2 linked regions of the Lonchura striata genome follow. The protein of the gene in region 1 interacts with the protein of each later gene in a pairwise test. Links are inferred from orthologs where the notes say so. Each region holds a gene or a part of one and is shown in the gene's direction. Other genes may lie near its edges. The genes, in order: thioredoxin and FST.

Region 1 (8,094 bases):
TGAGTTTGAGACACTTAAGGCAAATACATGTGTTTGTCTTGACATGAGGCCTGAAGTGTCTCGATAACAGAGAGTGCATATAAGCATTCCCATGTTCACAGACCTCCTGTCAGGGTACCTTCCTTTGTGGAGACCCACAACATGGCATAAACCCAGGTGAGCTCACAGAAGCTTTCTTTAAAAAACAGGTTCCTTCTAATACAAGTCCAAAAAGTAGTAGCTTCATCAGTTCTGGACTGTTTTGAAATTCTTTTCTCCAAAGATTCAAAAATGAAGCAAAAATGAGGGAAGGGAACATGTATGTAAGGGAAGTGACTTGGATGTTTTCTTGATTCTCAGAAGGGCTTTGTTAACCAACATACCCCCATGGTAAGGGGAGATGAACTGCGGTCAAGATCTTTATTTCCCTTTTTTTCCCCCACATTTTACTCAGCTTCTCTCTTTTTTAATCATACATGCTACACCAAGCATTCAAAAGACTCTAGGCAATTACATCTGCAGTACATCAGCCTGCAAGAGAGAAAGAAGTATGTTTCCTCTGTGACTTATGCTGGCACAACACCAAGCACACCTATCCAATTATTAAACATTTATTGCACCTTTAATACATGAGTTACAAAAGCAAAATCCTCCAGAAGGGCAGGCTGGAAGGAAAGGGAAAGTACAATTAAAGGTTGCTGCCCTGTTGCAATGTCAGGGCCAGATGTTACACTCTCAATTTACATTGCAAGACAATGGCAAATAACCTGGCCTTCCTATGGTAAAATCTGATGCTCCTATGGCTGGAGTTGTTGCCTCTAGCAGCTGCCTCATTTCTGCAGCTGGATGCACCATTTTGTAATGTTGGACATGACTGACCATCTGTGCCATGGCTGTAGTATTATTATCCTTGTAGCTGTGCCTTTTATTGAATGACACATTTGAGAGGTCAGGACACTTAAGAGTGGTTTTAGGAGACAGAAGTTTTTCTTAGATATGCTCATGGATGTGCAGTTGCAGACCTACAGCCTACCTTGGGTCTCACCACGCCATGGCATTCCTCCATCCACCAACATGCACTGGCATACAAAGAAAAGAAAAAGCAAGCCCTGGAAAGGTAATTCATGGTCCCAAAGCCTTTAAACTACAGATCTGGAAAGCCATGTGGAGCTGGGGGGGCATCACACCGGGACCGTGTGTCACAGCTCTGGCTCATTCATCCAGAGGGACACCATGATTTACAACCTGCCTTGCTGGTCATCCTGTCAGGGATTACTGCTGCTCACCTTTTCTACCCTCCTTCCCACCTCTCCCAGCAGCTCAGAAGGAACTGAAACTGTAATTTGCTCAGCCTCCCAAAACCCTACTGCATGTCAGACCCTGAGCACACCCCGAGTTCACCTCCAGGGTGAAGCTCTTTCCTACTGCTGGCCCATGTTGCTCTCACCTAACAGGTGACATCAAACAACACAAACAAAGCCCAAAAAATAAAGGATGCCTTCCACCACAGGAGCTTTAAAGGTGACTAAAACAACACAAATTGAATTCCCACCTGGATGTTTGTGATGACTGTGGCATAGCATGAGCTCTCCAAAAATACAGTCCTTTTTACTGGCCTACACCTAAGTGGTACTGATTAATTCACTTGAGGGCACCTAAATTTAGACCTTCTGACTTCCTCTCCCACATGTTTTGCACACATCCAAGGAGCGTGGCAAAGATATACTCAGTTATAGTGCATGGGTGGCTCAGTCATTTCTCTATGTCTCCAGACTTTCTGCAAGAGAAACTATCTAGGGACTAATTTTTGAAAGTTACATTGCCTTTTCACTCTGCCCCTCCTCAGACCACATTTTCTGACTTCCAGAAGCAAGCAAACACACCCTCCTGAATGTCTTTAAGTGCTTCCTCATTCTCTGTCAGCCCAGATTTGCAAAGAGCCATCTACTGGCCACCGTCCTACCCAGTGACTCCTGGGTATGACACATCATACAGCAGTCTGCTGAATCATGAAATTCACGTGATTTTCAACTTCTCCACAGCCAACTTGCATATTTTTAACATCCACTCTCCAGCAGCCTGGGGGAGAGAAGTATGTTGCATTTGTGGTTGTGAGGAAAGTGGGTGGGAGTGAGGGCACCTGAGAAGCTGAGGCTCCTATGGATGAGTGACTGTGTACATGGGACAGCCACAGCATTGCTGAGCTAAACAATGAGATATTCCACAGTTTAAAAAAACAAAACACCCATTTAGAGGATACACATTGCTCTGTAGCATTTTTATTATGTGCTGTCATGATAGTAATTACAACAATTTAAGAATCAAGCACAGATCACATATATTATATTACTGTCCAGTTATTTTAGGCATCCATACAACAATCATACAGCAACATTTTGAACTTCAAACTGCTGTATGCCTAAGCCTGTTAAGTCAAGTGACTGTGAGCACAGCAAGAGATGAGTGGCCACATATGGCACCTAAGAAAAGACACACTTTTCCTTCTAGTTTAGAGAGGGTTTACCCACCCACACTTGCCTTTAGAAGGCTGTTGGTTTCTAAGAATTTATTGTTTGGGTGGGTTGTTCCCTGCATTTGCTTGCACTGGCTTCTGCAAGAGCCACATAATGCTTGGCTGAGGTGGGGAATTCAGGAGTTGGACTTTGAAAGTAGTCTGGGCTTCTTAATTTATCCTGCCAGGCCGCAGGTTGTAGAGAAAGGTGCCTTGGCTGATGAGGAATTCCTGCTTTCTTCTGAGCAGCAGCTGCACCTCCCCAAAGCAGCACAGGACACATGTACCAGTTGTGTTTGTCAGCCACAAGGCACATGGACACAAGGGCAGCAGGGACCAGCTGGAGGAAGCTGGATGAAAATACAAAAGCCAACAGAAACCACTAAGCCTTCATGGTGCTGCTTCTCACCCACTGGCATCCTGGCTCCTCTAGTGATGCTGCCAAAGAAAAAAAAGGAGATGCTCATGGTATCTAACAGGTGGGGGAAGAAGCAGAAAGAGCAGCAATCAAAGTGTTTCAGGCAGACAAAACCTATCAGGTCTGGAAAGATATAGACAGGGGATGCAACCATAGGGCCAGAAAAGAGCTTACTAGTTTTCCTGCAGTAGTATGACACACACTTAATAAACTTCCAAAATAAAAAATTACTTACTCAGTTTCTACCACAAGTAAAGCAACATATGAGGGCATATCCTGTTGGGATGGGTTGGTACCTGTATCCAAGGCAAACTGTCTTTTGTTTTCTTTTTCTTTTCAAGAAAGAACTGTATTTCTTTTTTTATCCAGGACCTGCACTAAGTCTTCTCACCTTCTGCTCAGGTGTATCCCAGAGCAAACTTTCACAGGCTGCTAACCCAGCTGCTAAAACCTGCAGAAACAGCCCGTTCGTGACACAGCTGGCACCAATATCCCAACACCTAACCTTTCCTGGGTCCCGTGCAGTAGGAACTGGAGTCAGCAACGTCCAGAGTCCAACATTAAACCCTACCAGCCCAACAGAAGGAGAACAGGGCTGTGGCAGGCCTGTTTTGCACTGTGGGGTGAGCTGTGGCACAGCTTGCGATGAAACAAGGGACGTCTCCAAAACACAGAGAAAAAAACCAAGATGGATGGAACTTGTAGGTTCCACCAGAGAACCCCCTCGGATGGGAACGCTAAGCTATTCCCTTGAGGAGTCTTTCTGGCTGAGTCCCTGCATGAGGGGAGCTACGGGAGGCGGTCAGAGTTTAACCCCGGGTTAAACACCGCAGCCTTCCGCGCTGCACAAGGGCCCACATCCCACAGAGCAAGGGCGCCACTCCCTGCTTTTGGTGGTGGGAAGGAAAACAACAAGGGAAAAAAAGTAACAAGGAAAAAAATATTCCCGTCATTTATTCCTGCCTTCCACTCTGCCCGCATTACGGGCAACACCAGCTCCCTTTCTCGTAAGGCGAGCAAAACGCCGCGTCAGACAGAGCCGCTCCCCGCGGGGACGTGATGGGGGGGGGGGGGGGGGGAGGGGGAGGGGCCAAGCAACTTCCTGCTCATCGTTACACAGCACTTTTCCAACCTCCTTGGGCTTTCTTTCTTCCGCTGCTGCTGCCGGTTCCCCCGGCAGCCGGCAGGGACGCACGCTCCCCTCCCGGGCCGCCGCCCCTCAGCGGGGCCCCAGCGGCGCCGCGGGCAGCGGCAGCGCCAGGAGGCGGGTCGCCCCTGCGCATGCGCGGCGCGGCGCCGTGCTGGGCATAAAAGGGCGGCCGGGGCGGGCCGGAGACGCGCTGGGACGGCGGGAGGCAAGGCGGGAAGCTGAGCCTTGTGTGGCGACGAATCCCTTGGTTCCTTGCCTTTACAGCACCGACTCTCCTTTCCCACCGTCGCCGCCATGGTGAAGATCGTGAGCAGCCTGGTGAGCCCGATGGGCGAGGCGGTCGTGTCGTTTCGCCGTGAGAGCGGCGCCCGGCGGGACGAGCATCATCGCCCGGCGGGCGGGCGGGCGGGCGGGGATTAGCAGTGCCCGGCGCGGTTTGGCCGGCGGGGGATCGTGCTCGGGCTGCCCCGGGCCCTCGAGGGCCCGCGGGAGATGGCGGCTGCGAGCCCGTGTGCTGCCCGGGCAGGCGGAGCCTGCTTCGCCCATGCGGCGCGGCCGGGGGAAGCCGCGCGGAGGGCTCGGCCGGGGCAGGGTTGGGAACTAATAACTGCGGACCTGAGGCTTCGGGGAGTCGGAGTGAGCGGGGACGTGATGCAGTCTCGCCTTATGACGGGCTGTTCATCGCTCTTTTAAGGAAAAGGTTTCGTTTCTCAAGCGGATAGCAGGGCACTACAGCGACAGGCGGAGAGAACGCAGTCTTAAGCTGCGTCAAAGGAGGTTTAGGTTGGACATAAGGATGAATTTCTTAAAAGACAGGGTGATTTGGCGTTGGGGTACGCTTCACAGGGAAGTGGTTGAGTCACTGTCCTCGCAGATGTTTAAAGAACTCGACATGGCGCTGAGTGCCATGGTCTGGTTGACAGTGTGGTGTTGGGTCACATCTCGGACTCGATGATCTCGGGGGTCTTTTCCAACCTAACTGATTTTGTGATATAGTATCTTGATTTGGCAGTTCTGATTTGTTTTATGTACTGCTAGTGTGTAGGGGACTAGGTGGCTTTCTTAGAGTTTGGCCTGTTGCACTTCTGGGGAGGACATCGTGCAAGAGTTCATCCATTCTTGACTTGAAAGGAACTGCTAGAGCCCATTCCCCGTGCTTAAACAGCAGGAGTTGCTGGCATAAGAAGTATTTCCCTTGTTATGGTGCTGTCTGTTGTATTCACAACCCTAATGCAGCACATCACTGTTTGGATGATTCTGTGAATACAAACACATCTGTGGCTCTGAGATAGAAAGTAGTAATAAAGCCTAGACACATGGAGAATATCCTGCTGGTGATGAAATAGTATGTGGTTTTGTGCACAGCAGCTGATCTGGTTGATAGACAACAATAGAGTACTTGTTAGCTGTAACTTAGGAACCCAAGTCTCGAAAAATATTCTCCATGCAAACTTAGCAAGTTCTTAATTTCAGGAAAAATCCTGTTGGGCTAGTCTCACCCTTTTGAACTTGGAATCTGGTGCAAATGTCAGTTTGATCTCATTTTTGAGGCATCTGCAAGTGATGGTGTGTGGGTATCCTGTAAGGCCCCAAAAAGTCGCTCAGCAAGATCTTTAACAGGGCTTACAGTTAACAGGTCTTTGACAGGGCTCATTTACTCTGAGTTAGACACGGGAGAAATACTGTCAAGATATTCTCAAGAGGTCAAAAAAGACTTTACTGGCAACTTTAGAAAATCAAAGAACTTTGGCAAAAGGTTTTGTGTAACATTCAGTTAACATAAAACACTTCCCAAAGCATTAACTTAGCCCATTCAACTTGGCAAGCTCTAAACGTGTTTGATTTCAAGTCACTCAAAAATTATGAGAGGAGAGACTTAGAAGAAAAAGATAGAAGAGATATTAAAAAGGGCACATACAGCTACTAACTGCTGGGTTCTAGCAGTGTTCAGCTGATAGAAATTCCAAGAGGAGGCAGGGTCAAGACATATGCTTGCAGCATGTTTGGCCTTAAGTGCCCCTTGCCTATAGCGTGCCCATGGTTGGTGGTCACTGTCTGGGAGAAAGGCTCTAGGGATGCGGGTGTGCACTGCCTCACCAGAGCAAGGTCTGATCTGCCCCTTCCCCCACACATTTGCACCTCAAAATGTTTTGAGACCTCAGTCTTTCCAGTCTCTCAAACATCCAAGTTTGTTTTCTAGGCCGTGCTCTTCTACAGTCAGTTCGCTTTATATATGAAAGGCATGTCAAACCTCTCCCACTGGACCGCAAATTGTTGGAATCTGATACATAAATATACAAATTAACACTTGTGACCACAGCTCAAAAGCAGGTGAATGCACAAACCTCCTTAAGAGGAATGAAATGCCTTACCATTTCAGGTTCTGAAGAGAGAATGGTGTGTGACTACAACCTAGAATTGTTCTGCTTTGTATCTCTTCCCCCTTCTCTGTCTATGGTGCCACAGAAGGGGCAAACTTTTGGTGTAAGGGTGTAACAGATTAAACATGGCAAGTCAAACCTGGCTCTGGAGGAGGAGCCTACTCTTTAGGCAGGCTTTCACTATCCTCCTAGCTATGAGTGTTGTTTAACAGTCTGCTGTAGCTAAAGCGAACTTTGGTTTTGCATTCATGGACAGTGTGAACTCGGCAGTCATGCTGACAACAGCATTTTAACCTCGGTGACACCCAGAGTATTCAAGTGCAGTGCAGCTGGGATTTCTGGATTAATTCTGGTTTTCAGTAAAGCAGGTTTGTATTATTCTCTGATACAAAGGGTAAAAACCCATTCTTGCACTGTCTGCAAGAGCTTCTATGAGTGAGAGCTAGGTAGGTGTGGCCCTTTTCCCTGCACACCTCCTCAGAAGGAGACTGGCTTCTGAAGAATGTCTACTTTCAGGGTGCCTGACTGTTCCTTCTGTAGTACCTGCTATAGCACAGAAGGAGATGTATTGTTACTGTTTTTTAGTGGCCTTGAGGTGAGTGACTAGTGTAATTTGTAAGAGGGTTTGACTATGGGACATACTGCTTTTTATAGCCAAAGCTAATGGGGTGTATAAAATTAAAAAGCTGCCAAAGCTTTTCTCTTCATTCTAGCTGCCTCTCTTGTTATTTAAGTTAAAGAAGATGCTGAAAAATTGCAGCTTTTGCTGTAAGTGATAATTTTAGAGGTGGTGTGTGCTAGGGAGTTCAGGCAGTTGAACCTTTGCTTTGTTTATGCTAGCTTCTGTATTTTAAAAAACCTCTCTAGATTACATTGGCACTCAGCCGATGACTGGGTGAATTCAAGGGTGACTTGAGAAAATAATGTTTACAACCAAGCTGTAATCAAATATGCCAGATAGTGTGGACCTATATTATCTGTTGCTGAGAGCAGCAGACTCCTTTCAGCACCATCTGAAGGAGGCCAGCAGCCTCCTTTTTGAAGCACTACCTGGTGCTGGGAACCTCTGAGGCAGTAGAGGCTTTCATTATTAGAGCTTCTTATTTGGCCCTAGGGAACAGATGCCTGCTACCAATGTGTTTGTTGAAGGTACCAAGTTTCTTTTCTGCTGGACAACAATACAAGTAAAATGAGGTCTTGTGTTCAGGGAGATTGTAGTTAAATATTTAAGGAAAAAAAAAAACAACCAAACAACAATAAAAAAACCACCACCACAAGGAACCAACCAATATTGACCATCATGCTAGCTGAGGTTTCCCCCAGTGTGCTGTTACCCAGAGAAAATGCTGCTTAACAAAGCTGTAAGATCCTTTCAAAGTGTGACAAATAGCACTGTGATGGGAGGTTCCCCTTCTGGTAACAGAGATTATTTAGTTTTTCATAAGAAATCTTGTCACTTTACAGTTAACATGAAACAGAACTAGTGAAGTCAGTTGGACAGGTCAAGCAGCTTGTTTTTTGTTTTGTTCCTGCTACTGTCTTCCTTCCTCCTGGGAAATTAAGCTGACTAGAAAAATTCAGAATTTCTCACTAGTTCGATACTTTTTAACTTGAAGGGGTAACACCTTTGGATCTAGCATCTCTTTTCACTGTC
Region 2 (9,112 bases), about 29 Mb from region 1:
TTTGGTTCCATTAATACTGAAAGTAAGCCACTAAAATTGATCCTCTTCCTAGATTGGCAATAAAGTAAATACAAACCACACAACAAGAAGTTAATGATCTGTCCTTAGCAAGCCTGTAACTTTGATGCAGTCAAGCACTTACTCTCTTAGTCTAGAAACACAATCCAGTACATATATCACCAGATATATGCATTGAGCTGGAAGCTCTCCATTTATTACCCTTTTTATGTTGCTACATTCAGCTTGTCAAAGTTGACTATCATTCTTAATAGTGATTTTTTTTTTTTTTCCATTAAGCTCCAATCCAGGACCTACAGTCAAACACAGACTTTTTTGGGATTAGAGAGTTATGTGACTCCACACTTCCAAATAATCAGATATGCACTTCACATTAATTCTAATAAGTAGACAAAAAACTAACAAAAAGAAATGTAAAGTAATGGCAAAAACTGACTTAATTTTCAAAGTAGTTGTTTACAAACTATGTCTGTCCTCATTATATCTTTGGTTTAGTCTCCAGACCTGGTTCAGCTGCAACTGATTGCCAACTTATATGTCTCTTGAAGTCTGCTTTACAAAATGCTGCAGACTTCAAAAGCACAATACCCACACATAATCTGATTTAGCCATTGTGAAAGCACTGTGCTCCTCATCTCTAATTACAACTTAAAAATTTGAAGTTTGGTCACCAAGAATGACATAGCTTCACTTGGAATAGTTGTGGAAGTATAAAATGCAATTTGCCTGTCAGGAAGCTGGGCAAGAGCCATCCTTCACTTAACACATGACTTCAGACAGCCAAAGGTTGAAATGGCCTTCCAGGGGCTGTTCTGCCTTGACTGTTATGCAAACTCCATGCTCCCTCCTACCATGCCTCTTCTTAAGCCTTCATGTGTAAATGGGCTGTCTCGAACTAGCAGTGCTGTCCTTCTGGCATTTCTTTACAGTAGCAGCATCCTAAAAACTGTGAAGAGCAAGTTTCCCACAATAATTATCTTTTCTTTCCTTTTTAACAGTTTTTTTAAATTTTAAAAAATTAATTTAGAATCTACATCTGAATTCCTGGTACTCTTGAAAACATTACAATCCCAACAAGGTGAAAGACCTGTCCCAGAAATTCCATGATCTATTGCACATTTCTAGTTGTTTAATATTGTCTGAAACTATACAGAGGAGCACCTCTTCAACAAATCAGGAAAGAAATAGATCAGTAGACTCCTTCATAATTTTTTTAATTTTGATTCCTTAGATAGTTAATGTTTTTAAGAGTTCCCTTATAGTTTTTTCCAATACCATTTTCTACTGGAATTTCACAATTTTGTCCAAATTTTCAACAATCCAGAAAGATTTTGCAATTTGTTTAATAACCTGTTTTCATTCCACTGGCACATTAAACCTCGTCTTGCCACACCACATCCCGTTTGCAATGGGTACTGAATAATAAGACTTGCTGCAGTTCCTTGTGTTGGTCTGTGGTACTGCCAGCACAAGACAAGAGAATGTCTTTGGACATTGTCATGTTTGTACTTCCAGTAAGAGGTAGGTATCTTTCAAACTGTTAGGGGATACACATTTCTGTTACTACTTCCTGAACCACCAAAGGGAGGTAAGGAAGGGGTCAGTTTGGCTCATATCACATATATGTCAATATTATTTGACCGAAAACATGAATGACACCTGCCTACATGACCTTTCTGCAGTGTGAACCAGAATGAACAGTTTTACCAGTGTTATTTATTAGGTAAGTTCCCTACTACCTCTTTATCCAGTCCATTGCCCACCATAACCTCTTGGGTCAATTTAATAAAAAAAGAAAAAACAACTGTTCAGCATCTCTGTATTCATCCGATAAGCACAACACTCCCCAAGAGCATGCACTGCAAGTTCTATGTTTAATAGTCTCACTGATGTGCAGGAACAATTTCAGTGGAATAGCACACATAGCCAATACTTGATATTAAAATTCAGCTCACATATTTTAGAGCTTAGTTTCATCAGGAACTTACTTGTTTTTCACAAAAGGTCTTGGTCAAATCAAGAAATCAAATTTTGTAATACAATTTTTTATGCTACATTTTTCCAAGAAATAGCACATGAAATTTCTACAGAAAAGTTATTTAAGGTCTGTAATTATTCTCCCATACTTAAAAAGAAAAAGTGGAGGGAAAGCTTTTCAAATAGTACAATACAATGGTACTCAGAAAAGTCCTTCAGTCTAGTATCTAAGATGCAAATGAGGAGAGCCTACATGAAATTGCAGTTTTTCAGAAACAGGCCCTTCTTTTTGTGATAATCAGTGCAATTAGATGGGAACAAAGCAAGGTAACAAGTCTTCTACCAGAAGAGGACGTTCTACCTTTATTTGAGTGGGAGAGGCTAGTTGTGTGAGAAACTGCATGGGATGATGCATACATGCATCCAGGACCACAGGAGGGTGTCTGAGTCTTTTTTAGCTCCCTTGAATGTTAGATTGCCAGGATAGACCTTCCCATTTGCGCTTGATCAAAATCCATATCTCTTCCAAATAATCGGTTTTGGCATGGAGTCCTATCCACAACCTAAAAAATTTTATTGCAAACATGTTCCTTATCAAAGAGGGGGTTCCTAGGTGGTCCACTCCTGATACCAGCAACCACTCTTCTGTTAGGCAACAGAGTGAGGGGAAGGGCGTAAAAGGTAATATCAATACTAGTACATCACATAGTTAATATTGACATCACAAGGTTAATATTCCACATATGTGTATGTATGTGTGTGTCTGCATCTGTGTGTGAATTAATAGCACATATTGACAAGGTAACTTGCTGATTACTTTTCCTCCTTCTTCATATTTTGCTGCTATTTTTTTCAGAGGCCAGCCACTTAATATTTTGTATTATGGAGTTTGCTGTAGCTGTAGCTATGGCTATTGCTATATTAGAACACATAAATATGTAAATTGAGAACCAAATCTGAACTTTCTGAAAGTCTGAGATGTAAGTATATAAGGGTTTTTTTTAAAAGCTCTATTATTCTAAGATCAGGGCCAGCTGCAAAGATTGGATTCACGTCCAAAAGCCTATATTAAAATGCATACATTTCTTGGTAGAAAAAAGTTGTGAAACCTGTCAGACTGAAAACAACACTCTTTTCTTGTGCTGCCTGACAGTTCAGTTACAGATCGACGCTATTGTTTTTTTGGTAATTTAAATATGATTGTTGGCAAAGCAGAAAGGGGTGGGGGAGTTATAAAGAGCAGCACACATAGTGAGAAAGAAGAAATCATGTCTGATTACATAATATGTCCCTGACATGTTCTTACTCACAAATCCAGTATCTAGCATTTTAAAAAAGAAAAATAAAATTAAAAAAAAAAAAAGGGGGGGGGGGAAACAGTAAAAGAAACAGCAGCTGTTTCTAAGTGATGTCAGAGAACAGGTGTGATACAAATCTCCATACCAGGGCAATCATATTGATCTCCCGATGATGCATGCATAAAGCACATGTGTAAACCTTATCGACCCATTCTGCGTTTCATTTCCAGGAACACGGCCTGAAAACGCCCCTCTATAACTGAAAACATTTTCAGGATAAACACTGTATTGGCCAATTACTAAAAAACATACACAAACGGAACACGGGAAGGTGAGCCTGACCCCGCAGCCCTCCGGGCAGCCGTGCAGTGCCGGGCCGAGCCCAGCCGAGCTCGGGAGCAGCCGCCAGCGCGCCCCGCGCCACCGCCGGGATCCCTCCGAGCCTCCCGCGGGACTCCTCCCGGACCAGCCCCGGCACCAGCGCTGCCCCGGCGGGAGCTGTGCTGCCGCCCGAGCTGCGCAGCGGGTGTGCCCGCAGCCCGCGGGCACAGCGGCCCCGGAGCGGCCCCGCAGCACCTTGCGGCCGGGCGCCGGCGCTGCCCGGGACGCGAACCCGGCGCGGCCAGGGGCGGCTCGGGCCGGGGCGCGGGCGCTGCCGCTGCGCGCCGCCGCCGTTAGAGGGCACTACGCAACCCCGCATGAGCGCGGCTCCGGCAGCAGGGGCGGGGGGCAGGGGGAGAGTGGCACCAATCTGGGAAAAGATTAAAAAGGATGTGGAGTCCCGGAGCTTCTGAAGTGCTTAAAATGCCCGGGCGATGCTCAGGACGAGGAGGACGAGGATCATAATAATAATTTAAAAAAAAAAAAAAACAGCCAAAAAAAAAACCGCAGCGAGGTCAATCATTTACCAGTCTGCTCCTTAATGCGTGTGACCGCAGGTGGTACCGAGGGACATTGTGATTCATGCCCACTTTCAAAGCGGGACCAGGGCCCGGCCTGAGGCACCCAAACAACTGTCTTCTAATATTAGCACGGCTGTATTTCTGGATCTATTATAGTCTGTCCAGACAGATCCCATTGTAATGGGATCTTTTATTAAAAGATTAGCACTATCTCCTGCAGTTGGTGGAAAAAAATCTGTTATCACTGAGTTATTTGCAGTTGTGGGGAGGGGGCAGTCGGGAGGGGGAGGTGGGGGGGCGGGAGCGGGGAGGAGGGGTATGGGGAAGGCCGGGCGGAGGGCGCGGGCGGCCGCGGCGCACCGGCCCCTGACCCGGCACTGTCCGGGCATTCCTGTCTGCATACTTCGCAGTCTGTTGTGCTTTGGTGGCTCAGAAAAGCGAAAGAATCGAAATTTAAAAGGCAGCTTTTGAATAAACAATACCATTTTCCGTTAAGTAATCGTTTTGTATAAAAGGAAATATCGCCTACTCAGTTTCATTCAGCGGTGCCAAAAAATGTTATAAATGAGAGACCGCCAACTTTTCTAAGGAGAGAATAATGCCAGACTGTGCTTAATAAACTAGTGCCCTAGAAGTTCATTATCGATGTTGCAATCTTTCTGTTTCTGAAAGGAGACCGCCTACGTCGCCCCCGTTGCCGTCTCGTCCTCCCGGGCTCTCCCAATGAAAAGCCTATCACCCGGGAACGGCCCTAGGTATTAAACTTTTAGCCGGTTCTGTCTTTTAGGGGTTTGGGTTTTTTTCAGGTTTGGGGCTAGTCGATCGGGGTTTGGGGTTTCTTTGGGCCGAGCGATCTGTCCGCCCGGCCGGCGGAGGTGCAGGGAGTGGGATGTTATCCCCCGCAGCCACCTCGCGCTGAGACCACGCCCGCGGAGCCGATTCCGGGCGGGCTCCGCTCCGCGCCCCGGCAGCACCCCCAGCCCGCCGGAGGGGCCAGGGCGCCCCTGGGGCGGCCGCGACCCCCCGCGGGTCTCCAGCCTCCCGTGGCGCTTGCGCGGCCGCGGCGGCTCCGCGGCGGGGGCTGCAGCCGGGGCCGGGCCGGGCCGGGCCGGGCCGGGGCCGCTCCCGCCGCTGCCCCCGCCGGCGGCTCCGCCGCTCAGGGTGCGCGGGTGCGCGCCTGTGTATGCGTGCACCTAGAGCGGATAATTGGAGAGGGTTTCCAGAAGGTGGGAAATGTCACCTGATTCACACTGAACTTTTTAAATCTCCCCACCCCCGACACACACACACATTAGGAGACCGCCCACCGCAGACAGCTAGGACCCCCGTATAGATTTAAAGAGAGACTGCATTCAGAGCCTGACGTTCATTCAATAGAGCGATCATAAGCAGGCTGGCTAGCGCTCGCTCCCTCTCCTTACTCCCCCTCACGCTGTCTCTGCGTCTCTCTCACTCCCTGCTATACTGAGGATGTTAAATCAGAGAATCCACCCGGGCATGCTCTTAATCCTGATGTTTCTGTGCCACTTCATGGAAGATCACACAGTGCAGGGTAAGACCAGACTGTTTATTCGCACATATGTTTCTTTATTATTACTAATGTTTTCCGTCTTTCGGGCAGGGTTTAGTTTGCTGCGGTGTTAAACGCCTCTCTCCAAGGTCCAACAGAACAGAAGTTAACTATGGGCTTTGTAGCGAGGTGCAGAGGTGTCATTTAGATCCCTTTTTAATCGGATCTTCGCACTGCTCAGCAAAGGAACAGAGGACAGATAGGCTATTTCTTGTTTTTTTATTGTTATTATGGAGCGTGAATGAAGAGCAGCATCGTGAGGGAACTTTCCCAGTCTCGGCTCCCGAATGAATGCACGAAGTTTGTTGGTAATTTAGTTCAGATTTTTATTTCTCCTAACTGACTGAAGGAGAGGTGGTGATGGAGAACCCCAGGATTACATCTGACATTTTTAGAAACCAATAAGTGGTCATTTTATTGACTTTAATATTGGGATTTTCTCCTCCTCCCTACTCTTTTTTTTTTTTTTTTTTTTTTTTGAGTGTGTGTCTGAGTAAATATTAACGTTGTAAATTCTCCTGCACTGAAGAGTATGCTTAAATAAGTTGGTGAGTTGGTGGTGGTTTTTTGGGGTTTTTTTTGGTGTGGTTTTTTTTTTTTTTTTTTCCTCGTGTGAACAAAACAAACCCGAATCTGATATTGACAACTCTTAAGAGCCCTCTTTCGACACAAGGGAATATTGATCTTTAGTTTGTGGGCTTTTCCCCTATTCTTGACCATGTTCCAACCTGGACGTCTTGGCATTGCTTCTTTTATAATTCTTTCTTTTCTTTTTCTCTTCCCCAGTACCGATAATTAATCTAACCTAGCCAACTGTAAGACATAAAACTTTTTATTTTTTTAATAAGGGCATTGTTTGTTCAATGATTTAATGATTTTTAGCGGGGTGGGGGGGGGGGGGGGGGTGTCTTCCCCCGCGCTCAGCAACATCTCTGCTGTGGCCGATCCTCACCCCGCGCTGCGGTACATTCCTATCGGAGTAAGGAGGAAGGATCGAGCCCTGGCTGGATTAGCGGGAGAGTCAATTGGTATTGAGTTGCTGGAGAAGTCACATTGGTTATTCACGGGAGACCCATCTCAACTAAAATGCTTCAGCTAAAAAAGGGGGAGTTGCTTGGACCAATGTTCTTGGCTGGACTCCACAAATAACAGGGATACGGGGGGGGGCGGGGGGGCGGGGGGGGGGGGGGGGGGGAGGAAGACAAAAAATAACCCCAAGAAAACCCACTCTATCCTGTGTAAGGACAGTGTACTTTCCTCTGAAATGTTTGCAGGAGAGATGGAACCTATAACTTTGCCAGCTTGATCGATTTTTAAAACTCTATAGGGACCTCCTACTATAAGTGTCCTTGTATTTTATGTACTTTGCCCACTTTTTTTTTTTTGGAACTCTGCTGAATTATGTTAGTGAAGGAGACATTTGTTAATAGAAACAGCAAAATGTGGCGATTTCGAAAGACTTCGCTAACAGCAAATGTTCCAAATTCGTGCAGATTGCAAAATGGGCTGGGAGTGAAACTGTGCAGCACTAAAACAATGCTGTTGTGCAGCCGCGGTGAGGAGGAGAGGGCAGGGGGAGGAGGAAGGAATTTGCAAGCGCGATTTTCTTTTTATTCCCTTTTAAATGCACATCCTTTTCAAGCCTCTGTCACGTGTCGGCAGTGCTCCTTCTGCTCTACATATGGAATAAATACCTCCAAAAACTCTAGCTCTGTTTTGGTTCGGTCTTCTCTTTCGTTCATTTTGTTTTGTTTTGTTTTGGACTTTGTTTTGTTTTCTTGGTTTGGGTTTTTTAGTTCTTTTGTGGTTTTAGGGAGGATTTTTTTGTTCGGTTGGGTTTTGGTGGGGGGGGGGGAGGGTTTGTTTGTTTTTTAAACTGCGCTTCCAAATGGGCCGTAGTAGCTGCGGGTTATGAAACGGGACAAATAAAAGGAAGCAGTCTAGTAAAAGTCACGGCAAGGCGCACGTGCTGTGTCTGGGTCATTGGTGGCCGCCACTGATCCGTCTGGGTGTCCCCCCCGCCCCCCGCCCCACAGCTGGGAACTGCTGGCTCCGCCAGGCGCGGAACGGGCGCTGCCAGGTCCTCTACAAAACCGACCTCAGCAAGGAGGAGTGCTGCAAGAGCGGCCGCCTGACCACGTCGTGGACGGCGGAGGACGTCAACGACAATACGCTTTTTAAGTGGATGATTTTTAATGGGGGAGCCCCAAACTGCATCCCATGCAAAGGTGAGGGGGTGCTGGCGAGCTGCTCCCCGCTGAGGAGCGGCTCCGGCAGGGGGAGGAGGAGCGGGGAGGGAGTTGTGGGGGGGCAGCCCTGTTCTCTTGCTTCCTTCCTCGTCGGGATTTTGAGGGACGTCTCGTACCAGCCCCGGGATCGTGGGGGGGGACCCCCCATTTCTGCCTGCCGCCTTGCACTTCACAAGGAGGATGGGAGAGACCCTCTCTCCCCCCTGCCTTCACTGGCGGGAGGGAATTTACCTCCAGCGGCGTGTCCTGGAACGGGAGGGAACGGTGTTTTTGCTCTGTGCTCTGGGTTCACGGTATCTTTCTTTCTTTAAGCAGTTTTGACACCAGGTCTCTTCTGCACACTTGGTACTAAAGTGGTGCCTCTTTCCTTCCATCAGAAACATGCGAGAATGTGGACTGTGGACCCGGGAAGAAATGTAAAATGAACAAGAAGAACAAACCTCGGTGTGTTTGTGCTCCGGATTGCTCTAATATCACTTGGAAGGGTCCCGTGTGTGGCTTAGATGGGAAAACCTACAGGAACGAGTGCGCCCTTCTCAAAGCCAGATGTAAAGAACAGCCTGAACTTGAAGTCCAGTATCAGGGCAAATGCAAAAGTAGGTTTGCAAATCTAATCCAATCTCCCTCAAATGCCAAAGGGTTTCTGTCTGAGAGTAGGAAGGAGATATTGGGTGTACTTCCTCATAGGAACCAGGCTGGGAGAGAGTAACTAGACCGTGCTCAGCAGACAAGGATGTAGTTGAACCAAAGCTCCCCATAGTCTGGCAGCACTTTTGTTCACACAGCTACCCTGAGATATGAAGGCATCATCCAGCAGCCCTTAAACGAGGAGAGCTGCTGAAGGCTTTTATATGGCCATTTGTTCTTGTTGTCACCTGTACACTCATCACTGGGGTCCTAGTATCTTCTACTAATCACTTTGTTTCTGTCTTTATTTCAGAAACCTGCAGAGATGTCTTATGCCCAGGCAGCTCCACATGTGTGGTCGACCAAACCAACAACGCGTATTGTGTGACATGTAACCGAATTTGTCCAGAGCCTACCTCCGCTGAACAGTATCTCTGTGGGAATGACGGCATAACTTACGCCAGTGCCTGC

Evidence for each region.
Region 2: the proteins of thioredoxin (region 1) and FST interact in binary tests that used the Homo sapiens proteins (3 or more experiments, as listed by UniProt). The link is inferred for Lonchura striata from reciprocal best matches to the Homo sapiens genes TXN and FST.

What each region holds. Positions count from the first base shown.
Region 1 is NC_134642.1:61,379,046-61,387,139, forward strand, and holds the start of thioredoxin, read left to right. Parts: upstream 1-4,214; 5' UTR 4,215-4,353; coding exon 4,354-4,377; intron 4,378-8,094. UniProt on the Homo sapiens protein: Participates in various redox reactions through the reversible oxidation of its active center dithiol to a disulfide and catalyzes dithiol-disulfide exchange reactions.
Region 2 is NC_134642.1:32,791,463-32,800,574, reverse strand, and holds the start of FST (follistatin), read left to right. Parts: upstream 1-5,588; 5' UTR 5,589-5,665; coding exon 5,666-5,747; intron 5,748-7,801; coding exon 7,802-7,993; intron 7,994-8,391; coding exon 8,392-8,610; intron 8,611-8,954; coding exon 8,955-9,112. UniProt on the Homo sapiens protein: Multifunctional regulatory protein whose primary function is to antagonize members of the transforming growth factor beta (TGF-beta) superfamily including activin, myostatin, GDF11 or bone morphogenetic proteins (BMPs).